Diceros bicornis minor: one gene and its partner. The protein of the gene in region 2 purifies or fractionates together with the protein of the main gene of each other region. This does not show direct contact. Links are inferred from orthologs where the notes say so. Each region holds a gene or a part of one and is shown on either strand. Other genes may lie near its edges.

Region 1 (10,047 bases), on a different chromosome or scaffold from region 2:
GTCTTCCTCAGCAAAAAGAGGAGGACTGGCATGGATGTTAGCTCAGGGCTGATCTTCTTCACAAAAAAACAAAAATAAAAAAACAATCTGTGTCCTCAAGTTCCCCAGAAATCTTTTAAGAAAAATAAATACTCTTTGTGGTTTTAATTTGCATTTCCCTGATGATTAGTTATGCTGAACACCTTTTCATATATCTGTTCGCCATTTGTATGTCTTCTTTGGATATGTTAGTTATCTTGAGTTTGGTAATCATTTCATGACAAATATGTACATCAAATCATCATATTGTCCACTTTAAATATATACAATTATATCTGCCAATTATTCCTCAATAAAGTTAAAAAAATAAGGAAAGCAAATAAAAGACAGAAAAATAAATACTTAAAAAATAAGGCAGAATGTGATAAATAGCACCAAAAAAAAAGTAAATAAATAAACAGAGAACCATGGGGAGCTCAGAGAAAAGAGAGTGAACTTTGGGCTAGAGGAGTCACCACTCTTTAGATAGATGAGATTTCAACTATCCTTTAAGGATGGATAGAATCTCAACCATTGGAAAAAGGGCATCCGAGATGGAAGTGGCCTCCAAGAGGGGAGGGACCTTGCCTTTCTTTTTCATCTGTGTAACCCTAGGACCTGGAACAGCACCTACCACCCAGTAGATGTCTAACAGGTATGTATCAAATGTATTCAAGGAAGTTAAAATGAAGGCTATGTTTAAAAAATATTTTTTAAAAATTCATTGTTAAATATGAATCAGGATATGTAACTGAGTATGTGAAAGAAGTGAAGGTGACTAGGGTAGGCTAGGGCTACAACACAGAGCCTTAAAGCCGGGTGAGGGTGTTTATACTTTACTTGGTAGTCTGAGTTGTGACTGCAGGTTTTTAAGCAGAGGAATGACATGAGCAGAACAAACTTTTAAGAGGATTAACTTGGTAGCAGGATGTAGGACCAGCAGAAAGAGTTAAGAGTTTGAAAGTCAGGTGTTAGAAGATTATAACACCAGTTAAGATGTGAAGAATGAGAGCCTGAAACTGTAAAGGTCACAGTGGAAATGGAAAGAAATACACTAGCTGAATAGACTACCCAGGCCATGGTGACTGACTAAGAGGGACCAAAAAAATGGAAGGGAATTGAAGGTGTCATCAGTTTTTACCCTGGATGAATGGTTGTTGGTAGCAGCAATAACAGAAAGAGAAACGTCTCCAGGTGAAGCCTATTAGGTGAGTGATGATGATTAGTTGCTCTTAAACCACCAAGCTCTGGATGAATGGCTGTTGAAATAAGAAAAGCAACAGACATTCCAGACCAGACTATGAGGCCTGCTTTAAACACAAAGAGCAAAATAAAGCAAAAAATCTTAGTCAATTTTGTTTTGAATAGGTAATATACTTATATGTATCAAAATTCAAGAGTTACAAGATGGCATAAAGTGAAAGATTTTTGTCCTTCTCCCTGTTCTTCAGCCTCTTAATGCTCCCAACTGTGAGGCAACAAATTGTATCAGTTTGTGAGACTTGTTTTAATTAAACTTATATTCTGTAAGTTGAAACAATTCTGTACTTGCATCAAGAGACACAGGTCAACAGACAAGTTATTGTGTAGCATCCTCGCAGGGAGACAGGATCCACCTGAAGATTCCTGGCTCCTCTGAGAAAGAACTACAGAAAGGGCATGCTGGGCAAGTCTCAGTGATACCTAATACTACACTCTTTCCTCCTCACATTACGAGCATGAGGCATTCTTCCTTCTCTTGTGATCCTATTATGTGTCAGCCACTTTATATGTACTATCATTCTAAAAGATCAGCCCTCTAAAGTTGGTTTCATTATCCCCACTTTATACATAAGGGCACTTGGGCTCAGATAAACTAATAATTTTCCAATGGTCATGCCAAAAATAAGTTGTAGGGTTGGAGTCAGATTTGAACTGCAATAGTGGGACTCAAAAACCTGTCTTGTTTCCATTCCACTGCTTAATCAGAGAAGAAAGAAAGTTCTTGAAGTCAAATTTTGGGAAGATTGAATGAGTGGGAAAACACTCATTTTTTTGAGTGTTTGAGCCAACATAAAAATGTTTTTGTATTTTTAAAAATAAAAATGTAAAATATACCGTCTGTAGACATATCACCAAAATTACCCAACTCAAAATTTCAGTCAAAAAACAGTTACATCATCTACAGGGTGTTTGAACAACTGATCAGACTCATCTACTCATAAGGAGTTGGGAGATTGCTGGAAGGTCTACTCATCGAGCAGAAGTCAGCCATCACTAAAATAACATGTAACAGCACAGAAACTTTTTTTTTTTTCAGGTGATCCCAAAGAACAATGCAAACATTATCTGCACCAGAGCCCAAGACGCACATGTATTTATCATTTCCACTTTATAAGTCAGGAAATAGACACCCTGTGAGTCAACTGCATAGCTCAGCCCTATGCTCAGACTACATAAATACTGCTAATGGTAACATCTAGGTAACAAGAAGGAGAAAAGGACATGATGCAGTAATGCCAGTGTTCCACTGGTTTTTATGGATTCTTTGACAACAGAATTACCTCCCTCACCCAATTTAGCAAAGAATTTTAGATTATGAAAATTGTTAATGAGTATAGTAAGGGAACTCCATTCCTTGGCTCCCAAATGGCACAAAACCTAGATAAATTAAAATCTTGAGACGCAGCATCCAAAATGGGAGGATCAATTTGCTTTAGAATACCTAATAGGTCCTACAATGCTAGATTTCCATATATTTGCGTATAAGTATAAAATATATCCACCCTCTCTAACCAACCACCACTCTTCAAAGTTGATTATGTAGTCATAGACACACACACATGCTTGCCCAGCACTTGCTCCCCAGAATTCAAGGTCCAGGGTAAACAGACACTATACCCTGTATACAGGTCACGAGATCTGGATTATGGTCTAAAAAATGTGGGACCAATCTCTACAAGTGTCTCAAGTCTACTGTGAGATCTAGCCCATCCAAGCTTGACAGCAAGAGACAGCAAAGAAAAGCCACAGGCAGATTAAAGTTCAGTTAACACTGTCAGGGTTGAAGCTGAGGAATCTACCTGATATTGGATACCAACAGCCTCCGGCCAATCAGGCATCTAGCGAGATGTATTTTCACACTACACTTAAGGGGAGGAGAGGAGAATGTTGCAGTCAAGGAGGTTAACTCACTAATAAATGAATGCAGGGTCTAGTTAAATCCCTATCGGTAGGAAAACACACAAGACTAGTGACTAGTCCCACTGACTAACACGTACAGTCACGGTATATGGTCGAAATGTTTTTCTGGAAATAGAAACTAATACTAGCCTTCCCTTCAAACCCGTACAGTGCACTAAAATGGTTCCAGGATGTGAGAGACAATCAAAATTTTTGGTCATTTAACAGTCTTCCGATTCAGTTTATTGTTAGCAAAAACAAAACACATTTCCTCTTGGGACAGACTTGCCTATGAGAGTGCAAGCCGAAACTAACCTGCTATGTTGAATTTGGTATCTAAACTTAGATAACTACCCGTGATAAACCACAAACCAAACAAAAACAACAACAAAAAGCCCAAACCAAAACATCCCAGACTCGAGGAGCACTGTTCAATAAAAATACAATGTGACCCACATGTACAATTTTAAATTTTACAGTGGCAACATAAAAAAAAGAAACACGTGAATTTTAACAATATCTTATATTTAGCCCAATATATCAAAAATATCATCTCAGTATGCTAACAACATAAAAGTTTAAATGAGATACTATAAATTCTTTTTTTTTTTTTAGTACTAAGTGCTCGAAATTCGGTGTGTATTTTACACTAATAGCACATTTCGGTTCCGAGGGCCACATTTCAAGGGCTCAAGAGCCACTTGTGGCTAACAGCTACCTACCGGGCGGCGCAGCCCTAGAGCCCGATTTCAAAGCGGAAAAAAAAGGAAAAAACCAAAGCAGGCAAAACCCGCACTCACTATATGAACACACATCAACGTCAACCGAGAGGACGTTTCGAGTTGGGCCGTGACTGCCGATTTTTGGTGTACGGAGAGAGAGGGCGCAGCAGAGTGCGAGGGAAAGAGCACAGAGGAGAAGAGAGACGAGCGGAAGAGTGCGACTGCCGCATCTCCCGAGAAGCCGGCTCTGCCCACCAGGCCAGCCCCAAGCCTCGAAGGACTGCCTGGAGGTGGAGGGCTGGCGCCGACCCAAGTGGTCCCGCTTGGGGTCTAGAGCCGGCCCGCCCGGGGCCGGCGTGGCGGGAGGGCAGGCAGCCGAGCTCGGCGCGGCCGCGCGCCGCGGGAGCGCCCTACCTGGCGAGCAGCGGGGTGTGGATGTGCAGGTGCTTCACCGCCACCTGAACGCGCCAGTCCGCGTGGCGGGCCGCCGACACGGTGCCCGACGCGCCGCGGCTCAGGTAGCGCAGGTCGGCGAGCTTGTGGTAGGGGACGGTGGGCAGGGCGCTGCAGATGGCGTCCCCGTCCATGGTCTGGCGCTCAGCCGCCGCCGCCGTCCGCAGCTCCCGCGGTCCTCGGCCGGCGCGGCCCGCCCTGCCGCCGACGCCAGGTCACGAGGCCGCCCGGCCCCGCGGCCGCGGTTTCCGGCGCCAGAGCGGCTCCCCAGCTCGGAGACGGGGTCGGCTCTGCGGCGGCGCGCGCGGGAGGAGCCTCCTCTCCGGACGGCCTCCCCGGCCGTTCGGCCTGGCCGCCCGACTCCGCCCTCCCGCTCCTCAGGCGGCGTCCGCGGCGGCCACTGCGCGGGAGGGCCCGCCGGCCGCCGGAGCTCCGCCCTCCCGCTCCTCAGGCGGCGTCCGCGGCGGTCACTGCGCGGGAGGGCCGCTGCGGCGGCGGGCTCGGGCCGGGTGTCAGGGGCGGGCGGGGCCGGAAGCGCTCCTCCGGTCTCCTCTCCCCAACTCCCCGGGTGTGGCGAAGCGTCCCTCTGGGGAAGGCTCCCGCAGCAGCCTACTTTGGTCAGCGGGCCCTCACGCGGGCGCTGGGCCGCGCGTCTTGGGGGAGTCGGGAAACCCGGGAGAGGGGGGCGGGGGCGCCAGGGGAGGGCGCCGGAGTCCCGATGCGCGCGTGCGCGGCGAGCGCCTGGAGGGAGCGTCGGACTTCCAGGGCTTTCCGCTTCCTGAGCCCCGCGAGGCACGAAGGGTGTACGTTCATTCACATGTCTCCCTGGACCCAGCCTTCTTTCGCCCTCAGTTAGTTCAAGAGGGAAGGGCGATGATAGCGCTTTCGGAGTTCAACCCGGGCAGCAGGTTCAGGGGTCTAGCTCCTGTTACGTGCTCCTCTACTAGGGACTGGCTTGTCTCTCTCGTCTTCTATCTTATGTTCGTAATTACATACGGAGATTGAAAAATAACCTCTAGAGAATCCAGCCGTCTGACTCCAAATAAGACTGCAAAAATTTCTTATAGGTCCGGGAGAAATGCAATCAGTGTTTAATGCCAACCAAAAAAAAAGACTGCAAACATAGTTCCATCTTTTTAGTTTAAGCAAACACGTTTCTACTTAGATGACTATTTTGTAGGATGTGACTGCAAATATTATATACAATACCAAGTCCATGCTGGGCATTTAATGAGTTCTGAGGCAACAGTAATAAGGAATGCCTGAGGCGAGTGGAGGTTTTCCGCCTACAGAGAACGAATGCTTCCTGTATTTTTGTATTGCCTGAAATGACAGTAGCAGTGTTACTTTTCACAATATGCAGTGGGAAGTTGTAATGAAATAGTGTATTTAAAAAATTTTGATCGTTTAAAATAAAAGGCTTAGCTTTAAAGATATGACTGGATACTTTGTATCCGATTTCCAATTCACTCATTCAACCACTCAGTTAACAAACTAAGAGTTGCAGAAAAAGAGAACAAAAAGTAAACAGGGAGGGAATGACCCAAATAATAATTCAAGAAATTTTGCCAGGATGGAAGGACAGGGGTCTCCATATTGAAAGGGGCCAACAGGTACCTACAGTGAATGAAAAAAGACCTGTATTAAAGCACATCATTAAAAAGGTCAGACACTAAGAATAAAAGATTCTAAAAGTTTTCAGAGGGAAGAAACAAGAATAAAGGGATGAGAATTAGAGTGGCATTGGATTTCTCAACAATAACACTTTTATGCTAAAACACTGAAGTGAAATTTCTTCAAAGTTTTGAAGGACAATAACTTCCAACCTAGAATGCTGTAGTCGCTCAAACTACCCAAGTATAAGAGCAGAATAAAAACATTTTGATATATACAAGGATGCAAACATTTACTTTCCATCCATCCACTTTTTATTTATTTTTTTTTTTTTGAGGAAGGTCAGCCCTGAGCTAACATCAGTGCTAATCCTCTTTTTGCTGAGGAAGACCTGCCGTGAGCTAACATCTATTGCCAATCCTCCTCCTTTTTTTCCCTTTTTCTCCCCAAAGCCCTAGTACATAGTTGTATGTCATAGTTGCACATCCTTCTAGTTGCTATATGTGGGATGCCGCCTCAGCATGGCCAGAGAAGCGGTGAGTCTGTGTGCGCCTGGGATCCGAACCCGGGTGGCCAGTAGCGGAGCACTCGCACTTAACCGCCAAGCCACGGGTCGCCCCCCCCCCCGTTTTTTTTTTTTTTAAAGAAAGCTACTAGAGGCTGTGCTCCAACAAAATATGGGAGTAAGTTAAGAAACAGAGAGGGCCGGCCCCATGGCTTAGCGGTTAAGTGCGCACGCTCTGCTACTGGTGACCGGGGTTGGGATCCCGGGCATGCACCGCCGCACCGCTTCTCCGGCCATGCTGAGGCCGCGTTCCACATACAGCAACTAGAAGGATGTGCAACTATGACATACAACTATCTACTGGGGCTTTGGGGGAAAAAAAGGAGAAGGATTGGCAATAGATGTTAGCGCAGAGCTGGTCTTCCTCAGCAAAAAGAGGAGGATTAGCATGGATGTTAGCTCAGGGCTGATCTTCCTCTCACACACACACACACAAAAGAGAGAGACATGAGATCCAGAAAACAGGACCAGAAGAATGGAAAGGGAAACCCCAGAATGAAAGATATGTAGCAGAATTGGAGAGCAACTTATTTTCACTGGAGCAGGAAGATGACAGACTCCAAGAAGAAAAACTCTAAAATAATTGAATTTATAGATTAATTTTGAATATTTGGGAAATTATATTGATAGGTGTTGGATATATCTAATGAAATACGTGGAGAGAGAACTTAAAATCTAAGAAAGTGAAAAAAAGGCAATTATTAATTCCATGAAAAATAAAAATTATACAAGAATGGAAGCAGCATTTCTCCAAACTGTTCCATGGTGGTGAAACTTTAAGACTTTTCAGAGCTTTTGAAATACTGGTATATTGTAAATCTCTAAGAAGGAGAGAGCATGCATCATAGAGCTCTATAAAATTTATTTATATTTTTAATTGCATTACTTTTAAATGTACTTTTAAAAAAATAAATAATATATTCACGTTTCAAAATTTAAAAGTGTAGAAGACAGACAATACAATAGAAAATTGGGCAGAAGACCTAGACACCTCACAAAGGGTGATATCTAAATAGCAAATGAAGATGAAAATATATTCAACATCATTAGTCATCAGAGAAGTACAAGTTAAAACCACAATGCAAGATCACTACACAAATACAAGAATAAAATTAAAAAGACAGATACCAAGTGTGAGTGAGGATTTGTAACAATTGGAACTCTTGTACAGTGCTGATGGGAGTGTCAATTGGTACAATCAATTTTGTAAACCGTATGGCAGTTACTATTAAAATTGCAGTTATGCAGATCTTATCACTCTCTCCTAGGTATGTGGACACGTATATGCATATACTAGAATGTTCGTAGCTGTGGTATTTATAATAGCTTCCAACTGGAAATTACCTAAATACCCATAAACAGTAGAATGGGTTAATAAATTGTGGCACATTTATACAATGGAATACTAAACAGCAGTGAGATTGAACAGTGTATGACAATATTGATGAATCACACAAATATAATGTTGGATTAAAAAAGCCAGACACAGAAGAGTACATATTGTATGACTACATTTCTATTAAGTACAAAAGTTAACAAAACTAACCTATACTTTTAGAAATCACAATAGTGGCCACTCTTGTAGGGTGGAGGTAGTGACTAAAAGGGACATGATGGGACGCCTGGGATGATAGTAATGTTCTGTTTCTTGATCTAGGACCTAAACTCTACGTGCCAGTTACACGGGTGCGTTCAGTTTATGAACATTCTTTAAGGTTACACTTAATGTGTACTTTTCTCTGTACATGTATATGCTATACTTCAATAAAAAGTTATTAGTATATATGAAACAAATATATGTGTATATATATATATATATAATGTCTCTCTTTCATGTAATTAGTACCACACTATATACCTGTTCACCTTGCTTGTTTTTCATTGAACAATATATCATAAATATCCTTCCTTATGAAAACAAACAAGAAATAAAAAGCTTCTTCATCTTTTTTTTTTGCTGAGGAAGATTCACCCTGAGCTAACATCTGCTGCCAATCATCCTCTTTTTTTTTTTGCTTGAGGAAGATTAGCCTGGAGCTAATGTCTGTGCCAGTCTCCCTCTATTTTGTATGTGGGATGCCACCACAGCATGGCTGACTAGTAGTGTACGTCTGTGCCCAGGATCTGAACCTGCGAACTCAGGCTGCCGAAGAGGAGCACACGGAACTTTAACTACTAGGCAACAGGGCTGGCACCTCTTTTTTTTTTTTGGTAATTATATTTTCTTCTATTTATAATTTTTATTGTAGTAACATAGGTTTATAACCTTATATAAATTTTGAGTGTACATCATTATATTTCAAATTCTGTGTAGATTACATCATGTTCACCACCCAAAGACTAATTACAATCCATCACCACACACATATGCCTAGTCACCCCTTTCACACTCCTGCCTCCCCTCTTCCCCTCTGGTAACCACCAATCCACTCTCTGTCTCTTTGTGTTTGTTGTTGTTTTTATCTACTATATATGAATGAGATCATACAGTATTTGACCTAATCCCTCTGACTTATTTTGCTTAGCATAATACCCTCAAGGTCCATCCATGTTGTCACAAATGGCTGGAGTTCCTCATTTCTTATGGCTGAATAGTATTCCATTGTGTATATATACCACATCTTCTTTATCCATTCGTCCCTTGATGGGCACTAGGTTGCTTCCAAGTCTTGGCTATTGTGAATAACGCTGCAATGAACATACGGGTGCATATATCTTTATGCATTCGTGATTTTATGTTCTTTGGGTAAATACCCAGCAGTGGAATAGCTGGATTATATGGTAGTTCTATCCTTAATTTTTTGCGGAACCTTCATACTGTTTTCCGTAGTGGCTGCACCAGTTTGCACTCCCACAAGCAGTGTATGAGAGTTCCCTTCTGTCCAACACTTGTTGTTTCCTGTGTTGTTAGTTATAGCCATTCTGACGGGAGTTAGGTCATATCTCATTGTAGTTTTGATTTGCATTTCCCTGATAGTTAATGATGTTGAACATCTATTCATGTGCCTGTTGGCCATTTGTATATCTTCTTTGGAGAAATGTCTGTTCAGATCTTTTGCCCATTTTTTAATTGGGTTGTTAGTTTTGTTGTTGTTAAGATGTATGAGTTCTTTATATATTTAGATATTAACCCCTTATCAGTTATATGGTTTGCAACATCTTCTCCCAATTGTTAGGTTGTCTTTTTGTTTTGTTGATGGTTTCCTTTGCTGTGCAGAAGCTTTTTAGTTTGATGTAGTCCCATTTGTTTATTTTTTCTACTGTTTCCTTTGCCTGGTCAGACGTGGTAGTTAAAAATATGCTGCTAAGACTGATGTTGAAGAGTGTACTGCCTATGTTTTCTTCTAGAAGTTTCATGGTTTCAGGTCTTACATTCAAGTCTTTAATCCATTTTGAGTTAATTTTTGTGTATGGTGTAATATAATGGTCTACTTTCATTCTTTTGTATGTGGCTGTCTAATTTTCCCAACACCATTTATTGAAGAGACTTTCCTTCCTCCATTGTATTTTCTT
Region 2 (10,167 bases):
GGGTTGAAAAGGTTAAATATCTTGGCCAAGGTCACACAGTTAGTTAAGGAATAAAGCAAGGGCTTAAGCCCAGTTCTGACACTAAAACCTATGGTTTCTTCCATTAAAGTCCTGCCTTTTTGGTATTTGTTACAGATCTTGTATTTCCACTTGAAATCATCAGTGTGCCTGAATTCATACTAAATGTAAAGCAATGGCCTTGTTGAATGGAGTCCAGGAATGGCCCTCTCCATGCTGGGGGGCCCACCTGTTGTCCTGAATAAGGAGTTAGGATAGGAAAGCCTAGCTTTCCATCCAGTTCCTTCTAGAAGGTTTGGTTTGGGGTCCTAGACAGCAATTGGGGAATGTGTTTAAAAAAAAAGCATGGGGAGTTCTTAGTCATTAGACTTTTATCTTTTGGGAAATATTTATCAGAACAACACAAATATTTTTTCAAGGAAATCATCATCTGCTCACAGGTCTTCTACCATATAAAGATTTTCCTTAGCAATATGTGACTGTCCTACCCAGTTACACGTGGCTCTGAAAAGATCTACCAAGTGTAGGGGCCCAGGGCAGGTTGCCCCAAAATACCCCACAATGGCATATTGGTTATTTTGAATTAAATCTACTTGTTTTGACTTGGTAAAGTTTTGATACTCCTCTCTCTGTTCCCCCCCAAAACAGGAAATAAATGTCCTATGTGAAAGGTACCCTCCCCATGCCAGGAGACAGACATCCTTATCACCAGAACTACGGAATTCAGGGTCAAGAAGTCTACAGAAACAAACCTTGTTACTTTTACTAATTTATCACCTCAAGCCTAAACTCTGCTTAAATTCCTCACTAATTACATACCCCAAACCTAAGTTTCTTTGTCCTGTCAATTCCTCACAAATTTATTGTTTTTTGTACGTAAAAATATATATAAACGTCCTGCTTTGTTCAATCTCTGAGCATCATTTTTTTCTGATCTCCCGTGCAGACGTAATAAATTGGTTTTTCTCCTGTTAATCTGGTCTTGCGTCAATTTTATTAGCAGTACAGCCATAAGAACACAAGATGGGTAGAGGGGGGAATTTCCCCCTCTCCAACACAAGTCACTACATCCTCCCAACTCTTTTCTGCCCCTAACCTGGTATGGTAGTGATGACACATAGAAGGGCAAGGGATATCAACATCCCGAACAAAGATATAACAGTGATGTGGTGACTTTTCATGTTTTATTAAAATATTAACCTACCAAAACCTGGTGCTAATCTGGTGCTCACTTTGCAATTACCTGAGCCCTCAGGTTGAACTATTTATTAGTCCTTCAAACTACAGTTTTCTATAATTTAGAGGAAAATGACTACTCAGCACAACAAATTTCAAAGTGGCAGTGTACTAGAGAGTACCCTATTGATTTTAATGACGTGTTACACAAAATTTCCTTGCTGGCTCTAGAGAAGCGCATTCCTTTTTAGAGCACTCCTCTCCATCAGAGGCCAAGATCCCCTCAGAGTGACAGCATCTCCAGCCTAGCTGGCTCATTGGCTCCAAAGGCTGGGAGGATGGCAAAAGGGAGGGGTGATGGCGAGCTTGCCTTGGCCAACTCTGCATCATAATCTCTGCCCACAGTTTGGTCTGTGGCAGTTCTAGATAAAACACAAGAGTAAAAATTCCATCCAGGAAGTCTTGCTTTGTCACACTTTCTAGCACTGGGTAAAAAACCATCAATTAACTGAAATGGCAGTGATTACTCACTTCTTACTACAAGAGTCAAGTTTGGAAAAAACATTTGCCCTCAATGATCATTTGATGCACGAAAGAGTTTTCCTCAAAACAAGTTCAGACCTTGAGGACTGATGAAAGGAGGCTTCTGTGTGAGATGCAACTGACTTTGCCCAGAAGATAAAAGAAAACAGGACTTCCAGAAACTTGCAAAATACCTACAGCTTCTGCATGACAAAAATTCAGCACAAGTACAAATTTTAGCTTTTCTAATTTCATCTTGCCTAAACTCCCCAAAAAAGAAGAATTGTACAAGAAACTGGTAACTTAAACCTCAAATCGTAGATTTATGTCTTAGGTTTTGAAGAAATAGTGAACCCTTTTCTTTGAATAAAAAGAGACAAGACTTTGATACTCTCATTTAGGCAAAAATCAGAGATTGCACATACCCTGTAAAAGCACTTGACCGTTACACCAACATTATGTTGCTGTTCATATTTCTAATGTCTAATCTAACAGTGCTGCTGTTACCATCAAAATGATCGTCAATGACATGCACAGCAGGTACCAGGGTGAAAGGTTGAGCTGGGACACCAGCATCAATAATCGTAAGATGTGGGTCCCCTGTTCCCCAAATTCCTGACTCTTTTTGGTCATCAAAGAAGGATTCATTCTCCCTAGGCCAACAGTCCGAGCAAAACAGGAACAGCCAGGATGTGCCCTGAGGATGCTGCCAGCAGGAGAGCCACGTGTGTTCTCACATCAATTCTGAGACCTGGAGATAGCCCAGCTTTCTCGGGAGACCATTTTTTTTTTTTTTAATAAATTTTTTTTTTTTTCCCTCAAAGCCCCAGTAGATAGTTGTATGTCATAGCTGCACATCCTTTTAGTTGCTGTACGTGGGACGCGGCCTCAGCATGGCCGGAGAAGCGGTGCGTCGGTGCGTACCCGGGATCGGAACCCCAGGCGGCCAGCAGCGGAGCTCGCGCACTTAACCACTAAGCCATGGGGCCGGCCGGGGAGACCATTTTTTGATATATGTGGCGGTGGGTGGAGGAAGTCTCAAGATTAAGGACCGCTTTCTTTTGTCAAGAAATTTCATTCCTATCACATGGTGTAAAACTGTCTTAGTAAGCCATCTAGGCGGAGAAGCTGGTGGCCTGAGATTCCAGACCTCAAAGTACCCAGAGGCCCTCGGGGGAAGGAGCCACAGAGCCCTCCTCTGAGCAGGGCAGAAGAGCAGGGGAATGGAGTTTCAGGGAGACAATTTCTGGATAAGCACTCTCCCTCACTATGGCTGTACTAAATAAACAACTGTTGTACACAAATCACCGCTACTGTGCCTAACAACTGCCACTGACAGAGCACCTGCCATGTGCCACCTGCTCTGCCTTGAGGTTGATACACATTATCTCATTTAACTATATTAGCGCCAGGACAGAGTTACTATTTTTATTCCCGTTTTACAGGTAAGAAGACAGGGGCTCAGAGAGGTCATATAACTTGCCCACGGTCACATATCACAGAAGTGACAGAGTCTGAATTTGGGCCCAGTTTGATGGGCTCCAAAACTTGAACTTATTTCTCCACTCCACAGAAATAAAACCTATTCTTCTTAGACCCTTTGGGAAGTCCTCTCTTCTCCTATTTCTCTGCTGCAGTTTGTTTTAAATCCACCTTTCTTATCTGCGGGCATATGTCTGTCTCTCGTTCAGTGGTCCTGCTTGCTGGGATTACAGCTCCCGGCCCCCAGCATCTGCCCTGGGGTGAGGACAGGGTCCATGCTGCGAAATCCACTCCTCTCTAATATCCACGGTGAAGTTCCTGTTCCTGGACACTGTATATCTTAAATAGGGGGCTTTTAGGAGGGACAAACCCGACCCTGTGGCAAGCACATCCAGCTTCATCCTTAAAGGAGAAAACCCAGAAGTTGTAAAGGCCATCAGTTTGCTAGTTCCCTCAACTTAATTTCAAATGCCGACAATAGAGGCATTTCCCAGAAAGCAGAACCAAGAGGGCACTGCAATCTGGCATTCGTACGTTTTTCACAACCTGCCAAACACTACGTGAATATCTGAGGCTCTTTTGAACACGCTACTCAGGCGACCCTGCCAAGCATTGCCTCATTCCCCTTCTTTGCGGCTCAGGAAGCCCGAGGGAAGTCCGCTGCCCGGTCCCCAGGGCCACACAGGTCACTGGGAGCAGCCGGATTCGTTTATCCCACGGGCTGGACTCCATCAAGGCCCCCCGCCTGCCTTTCCACCTTCTCTGGGCTGCCACCCTTTGGTCATTGGTTCCCAACCCTGGCTGCACATTGGAATCACCCGGGGAGTTTAAACAATACAGAGGGCTGGGTCCCACCCCAAGCGATTCTGATGGAATTGGTCTGGGATGCAGCCTGGGCATCTGGATTTTAAAAAAGCCCTGGGTGATTCTGAGGGGCAGGCAGGACTGCGAAGCCCTGCCTGGACCACCGCGGGATACACAATTCGGCTGACGCTCAAGTTCATCCCTCTGAACTTTCGCTACATTCCTCAAACTCCCCGGTTTCTCCGCCTTGTTCCACTTGGAACCGTTCTAGGGCAGCTTTTCATTCCGCCCGCACGCGGGATCCCGCCTGCCTGCGCCTCCTCCATCGCGGCGCCCAGGACCCCAGAAACTCCCGCCCCGCGCGAACCCCTCGTCGCTGGGACTTACGTGGCCGGCACGCTTGCAGACCGCTCAGCAGCCGGGAGCGAGAGGCCCGGGCGCGCGCCGTGCCCGCTGCTGCGCCAGGGGCAGGGCGGGAGCGGGCTGCTCGCCGGCCGGAACGGGAACTGGCCGGGCGGCAGTGGCAGCCGCGCCCCTCCGGCCGCGGCCCCGAGCCTCGCCGCGCTGCGCGGAGACGCCTAGGCCGTGCGGGCGCGGACGGGGCAGGGGCGGCGGGGCGGCCGCTCGCCCGGGCCGGGCGTGGGAAGCCGGCAGACGCCGCGCAAGCAATGGCCTCGGGCGGCCCCAAGGGGCGCTCCCTGCCCGAGCACCAGCGGCCAAACCCTGCGCAGGGGCGAGTAGGCCGGCCCGAGAGCTCCCCCAGGGGTGACACACTCGGGAACTCCTGGCGCCAGCTCGGCCACGGCCGCCGCGAGCCCAGGCTCGTCCCCCTAAAAGTGCCAAGCCAGCACTTGTACCAGAGGCAACGCCAGGGCATGATGGTGAAACTCTTGTTAAAAGGTGACACGTGCTCCCCGATGAAAACTAGCTCAAAGTAATCAAACTTTCTACAACAGAGCGTATACTTCGATTTACACTTTTAAAAATTTTAAAATTTAAAATTCCTTTCTGTTCTTGGCAGTATAGGTACATCTGTTATTGGCAGTGTGCATTTTATATCCTATACATTATGCTGTAGTGACTTGTAAAGAAGTTTTTAACCTGCTAAGAAATTTCCCCAATAAAATATTTTTTAACTGTTTTAAATAGGGAAGGTCTACATAAGGCATATTGATGCTATACAAAGTTGTCGCTTTTTCACACTAAAGTGCATTCAATCATATGACCACATATGCTCATGAATATTTAAATTTCCATGAAAGCTGACTTCCGAGAAAAGAAAAGTATGTTCCTAACTCAAAAATGAAACTTTGCAAACAGAAAATTGATGGGATACAATGTGCAAACTTGTAAGCACCAAAATGAAGAGTCTAAGGATGCTGATTCCTCCAGTTTACTCTCATATAAACTGGTGGAAAAATTAGATAATTTTTCTTTTCTAATAGGATTCTGAATTTTATCTTCCATGTCTTTTAAACTCTGTTTCATCTTTTCCATATCCCGTTTCTCTGGCTGCGTTCTGAATAACTGCTTCAGTTCTGTCTCTCCATTCATCAATTATTTTGTAGATATTTGAATCTTCTGTTTAACCCATCTGTGGTAGGCAGAATAGCACCCTCCCCTGTCCTACACCTGGACCCTGTGTATATGGTAAAGGAGAATTAAGGTAGCAGATGGAGTTAAGGGTGCTAATCAGCCAACCTTGAGATGGAAAGATTATGGTGGATTACTGGTGTGGGCCCAACGTAATCACTAGGGTCCTTATATGTGAAAGATGGAGGCAGTAGAAGAACCAAAAAGATGGAGGCCTGAGAAGGACTTGGCCTTGCTGGCTTTGAAGATGGAGGCATGGAGCTATGAGCTAAGGAATGGGGGTGGTTTCTAGAAGCTGGAAAAGGCGAGGAAATGGATTCTCCCATAGAGCCTCCAGAAGGAACACAGTCCTGCTGACTCTCTCATTTTTGTCCAGTGAGACCCATTTCAGTCTTCTGACCTCCAGAACCCTAAAATCATAAATTTGTGTTGTTTTAAGTCACTAAGTTTGTGGTAAGTTGTTACAGCAGCAATAAGAAACCAATGCACCATCCATTTAAGTTCTTAATTTCAACAATAACATATTTACTTTCTAAGTCTTTTGGTTCTAGTTCTAGTTTTCTTGGTCATGTTTAATAGTCTCCTGTTCTTTGCTGATTCGTCATTAAAAAAAAATTCACAATACTACTCAGCCCTAAAAAAAGATAAAATCATCCCATTTGCAACAATCTGGATGGAACTTGAGGGTATTATGTTCAGCGAGATAAGCCGGACAGAGAAAGACAAATACCATATGATTTCACTCATACGTGGAAGATAAACAAACACATGGACAAAGAGAACAGAGTAGTGGTTACCAGAGAGGAAGGGGGTTGGGGGTGAGCATAAGGGGTAAAGGGGCACATGTATGTGGTGACTGACAAATAATAATGTACAACTGAAATTTTGCAATGTTATAAACTAATATGACCTCAATAAAATTAAAAAATTTTCACACATAGCTATTTTTTGTTTGTTTTTAACTAAACTTTATTTTGAGATCATTGTAAACTCACATGCAGCTATAAGAAATAATGCAGAGAGATCCTTGTACACTTAATCCAGTCTCCCCTGACGGTAATATCTTGCAGAACTGTAGTGAAATATCACAACCAGGATGTTGGCATTGATAAGTCAAGATACAAAACATTTCTATCACTGCAAAGATCCCTCATACCGCCCCCTCCTAAACCCCTGGCAAACACTAATCTGTTTCCCATTTCTATACTTTGTCATTTCAAGAATGTTATGTAAATGGAAACATGCAGTATGTAACGTTTTGGGATTGGTTTTTGTTCACTCAGCATAATTCTCTAGAGATTCATCCAAGTCGTTGCATGTGTCGGTAGTCCTTTCCTTTTTATTGCTGTGTAGTATTCCATGGTATGGATTAACCACAGTTCGTTTAACCATTCACATATTGAAGGACATTTGGATTATTTCCAGTTTGGGTTATTATGAATAAAGCTGCTATAGGCATTCATGTACAGGTTTATATGTGAACAGAAGTTTTCATTTCCTTGGAATAAATGCCCAGGAGTGCAACTGCTGGGTCATATGGTAGTTGCATGTTTAGTTTCTTAAGAAATTGCCAAACTGTTTTCCAGAGTGGTTGGACCATCTTACATTCCCACCAGCAATGTGTGAGTGATCCAGTTGCATAGCATTCTCATCAGTATTTGGTCCTGTCACCATGTTTTATGTTAGCCATTCTGATCAGTGTGTAGTGATAGTGATATATCATTGTGGTTTTAATTTGCTAATGATGTTGAACATCTTTTCATGTGCCTATTTGCCATCTGTATCTCCTCTTGGGTGAAATGTCTCTTCATGTCTTTTGTTCATTTTCTAATTGGATTGTTTGCTTTTACTGTTGATTTTTGAGAATTCTTTATGTATTCTAGATACTAGCCCTTTGTCAGATATGTGGTTTGTAAATATTTTCTTCCACTCCTAGTGTGCCTTTTAGTTCTCTTAGTAGGATCTTTCACAGAGCAAAGATTTTTAATTTGATGAAGTCCAGTTTATCAGCTTTTCCTTGTACGAATCATGCTTTTGGTATCAAGTCTAAGAACTTTTTGACAAGCCCTAGATTTCAATGATTTTCTCCTTTTTTTCCCCTAAAAGTTTTATAGTTTTATGTCAGACATTTAAACCCATGATCCATTTTGAGTTAATTTTTGTATAAGAAGAGACTTGAGGCAGGGTTAATTTTTTTTTTTTTTTTTTTTTTGCCTATAGATGTCTAATTGCTGCTCCGGTACTATTTGTTGAAAAGGCTATCTTTCCTCCGTTAAATTACCTTTACACCTTTGTGTAGGTCTATTTCTGGATTCTCTGTTCTGTTTCATTGATCTGTGTGTTTATCTCTTTGCCAATATCATACAGTCTTGAAATTGGGTAGGTCAATTCCTCCCATTTTATTCTTTTTCAAAATTGCTTTACCTGTTCTGGTTCCTTTGACTTTCCACATAAATTTTAGAAAAATAATTTTGCCTAGATTTTGATAGGAATCGTGTTAAACCTATATTGGAGAGAATTGACATCTTTACTATGTTGAGCCTTCCAATCCATGAACAAGGTATGCCTCTCCATTTATTTTAGATCTTTGATTTCTTTCATCAGTGTTTTGAAGTTTTCAGCATACAAGTCTTACATGTGTTTTGTAAGATTTACACTTAATGTTTCCTTTTTAAAAAAAGCAATTGTATACACTGCTGGTAGGAATGTAAAATGGTTCAGCCAATGTGAGAAACAGTTTGGTGGTTTCTCAAAAAGTTAAACATAGAATTATAATATGATCAAGCAATTCCACTCCTAGGTATAAATCCAAAATAATTGAAAAGAGGTACTCAAACAAATATATGTACACATGTGTTCATAGCAGCATTATGTACAATAGTCAAAAGGTAAAGACACTCCATAGGTCTGTCAATGGATGGATGGATAAACAAATTGTGGTATACATATACAATAGAATACTATACAGCCATAAAAAAGAATGAAGTACTAATATATGCTACAATGTTGATGAACCTCAAAGACATGCTAGATGAAAGAAGCTAGACACAAAAGGTCACATATTGTATCATTTCTTTTATATGAAATATGCAGAATTGGTAAATCCATAGAGATAGAAAGCAGATTAGTGGTTGCCAGGGAATGGGGGTAGGGAGGAATGGGGAGTAACTGCTTAATGGATATGTGGTTTCCTTTTAGGGTGATGAAAATATTTTGGAAGTAGAGAGAGGTGGTGGTTGGACAACTTTGTGAATGTATTAAATGCCACTGAATTGTTTACTTTAATATGGCTAATTTTATGTTATGTGAATTTCATCTCAATAAAAAAAGTTTCAGTTTAAAAAAAGCAATTGTAAGTGGTATTATATTTTTAATTTCGGTGTCCATGTATTCTAGTGAATAGAAATACAATTGATTTTTGTATGTTTATCTTGTATCCTGTGACCTTGCTGAACTCACTTATTGGTTCTAAAGGATACTTTTTTGTAGATTAATCCCAGGGACAATCATGTCTTCTGCAAAGAGGGAGTGTTTCATTTATTCCTTTCCAATCTGTATGCGTTTCATTTCTTTTTCTCGCCTTACTGCACTGGCTAGAGCTTCAAGCACTATGTTGAATAAGAGTAGAAGAGCAGTTATTCTTGCCTTGTTCCCAGTTTTAGGGAGAAAGCTTTCAGTCTGTTACTATTAAGTATAATGTTAGCTGTAGGTATTTTATAGATGCTTCTTATCAAGTTGTTGAAGTTGCCCTCTGTTCTTATTTTCTGAGAATTTTTTTTGTCATGAATGGGTGTTGTATTGTGCCAAATGCTTTTCTGCATCAATTGATATGATCACATGACTTTTCCTCTTTAGCTTGTTAATACAGTGGATTACTTTGATTGATTTTCAAGTGTTGAACCAGCCTTGCATCTCTGGAATAAACCCCGCTTGGTCATGGTGTACACTTGTTTAACGTATGGCTGAATTCTATTTGCTAATATTTCATTAAAGATGTTTGTACCTATATTCATTAGGGATATTGGTCTGTAGGTTTCTTTTTGTTTGGTTTTTCTACTGTCTTTATCTAGTTTTGGTATCAGGGTAATATTGGCTACATAAAATGAATTGGTATAGGCTACCATAATGCCTCTCTGTCTCTGGTAATTTTATTTGCTCTGAAATCTACTTTATCTGATATTAATATAGCCACTCACTCTTTCCCTTGATTAATGTTTGCATCATATATCTTTTTCCATCCTTGTACTTTCAAACTGCTTATTGTTATAAGCAATATTGTTATATTGTTATAGTTATTATAGTTGAATCGAGCTTCTTGTAGAAAGCATAACGTTGGGTCATGTTTTTAATCCACTCTGCCAATTTCTGTGTTTTGATTGGTGTATTCAGCTCATTTACATTGAATGTAATTATTGATATGTTAGGGTTTAAGTCTGCCATTTTATTGTTTTCTGTTTGTTCTATTTGTTGTTTGTTTTCTTTTTCCTGCCTTCCTGTGGGTTACTTGAACATATTTTAGAATTCCATTTTTATTTATATGTAGTGTTTTTAAGTGTATTTCTTTGTATACCT

Evidence for each region.
Region 1: the proteins of NOD1 (region 2) and RIPK2 purify together in Homo sapiens (affinity purification with western blotting; 4 studies listed by BioGRID and IntAct, with this or other methods). This does not show direct contact. The link is inferred for Diceros bicornis minor from reciprocal best matches to the Homo sapiens genes NOD1 and RIPK2.

What each region holds. Positions count from the first base shown.
Region 1 is NC_080760.1:9,527,661-9,537,707, reverse strand, and holds the start of RIPK2 (receptor-interacting serine/threonine-protein kinase 2), read right to left. Parts: upstream 4,566-10,047; 5' UTR 4,490-4,565; coding exon 4,317-4,489; intron 1,278-4,316; exon of another isoform or gene 1,160-1,277; intron 1-1,159.
Region 2 is NC_080742.1:54,811,192-54,821,358, forward strand, and holds the start of NOD1 (nucleotide-binding oligomerization domain-containing protein 1), read right to left. Parts: upstream 4,465-10,167; 5' UTR 4,390-4,464; intron 1-4,389. UniProt on the Homo sapiens protein: Pattern recognition receptor (PRR) that detects bacterial peptidoglycan fragments and other danger signals and thus participates in both innate and adaptive immune responses.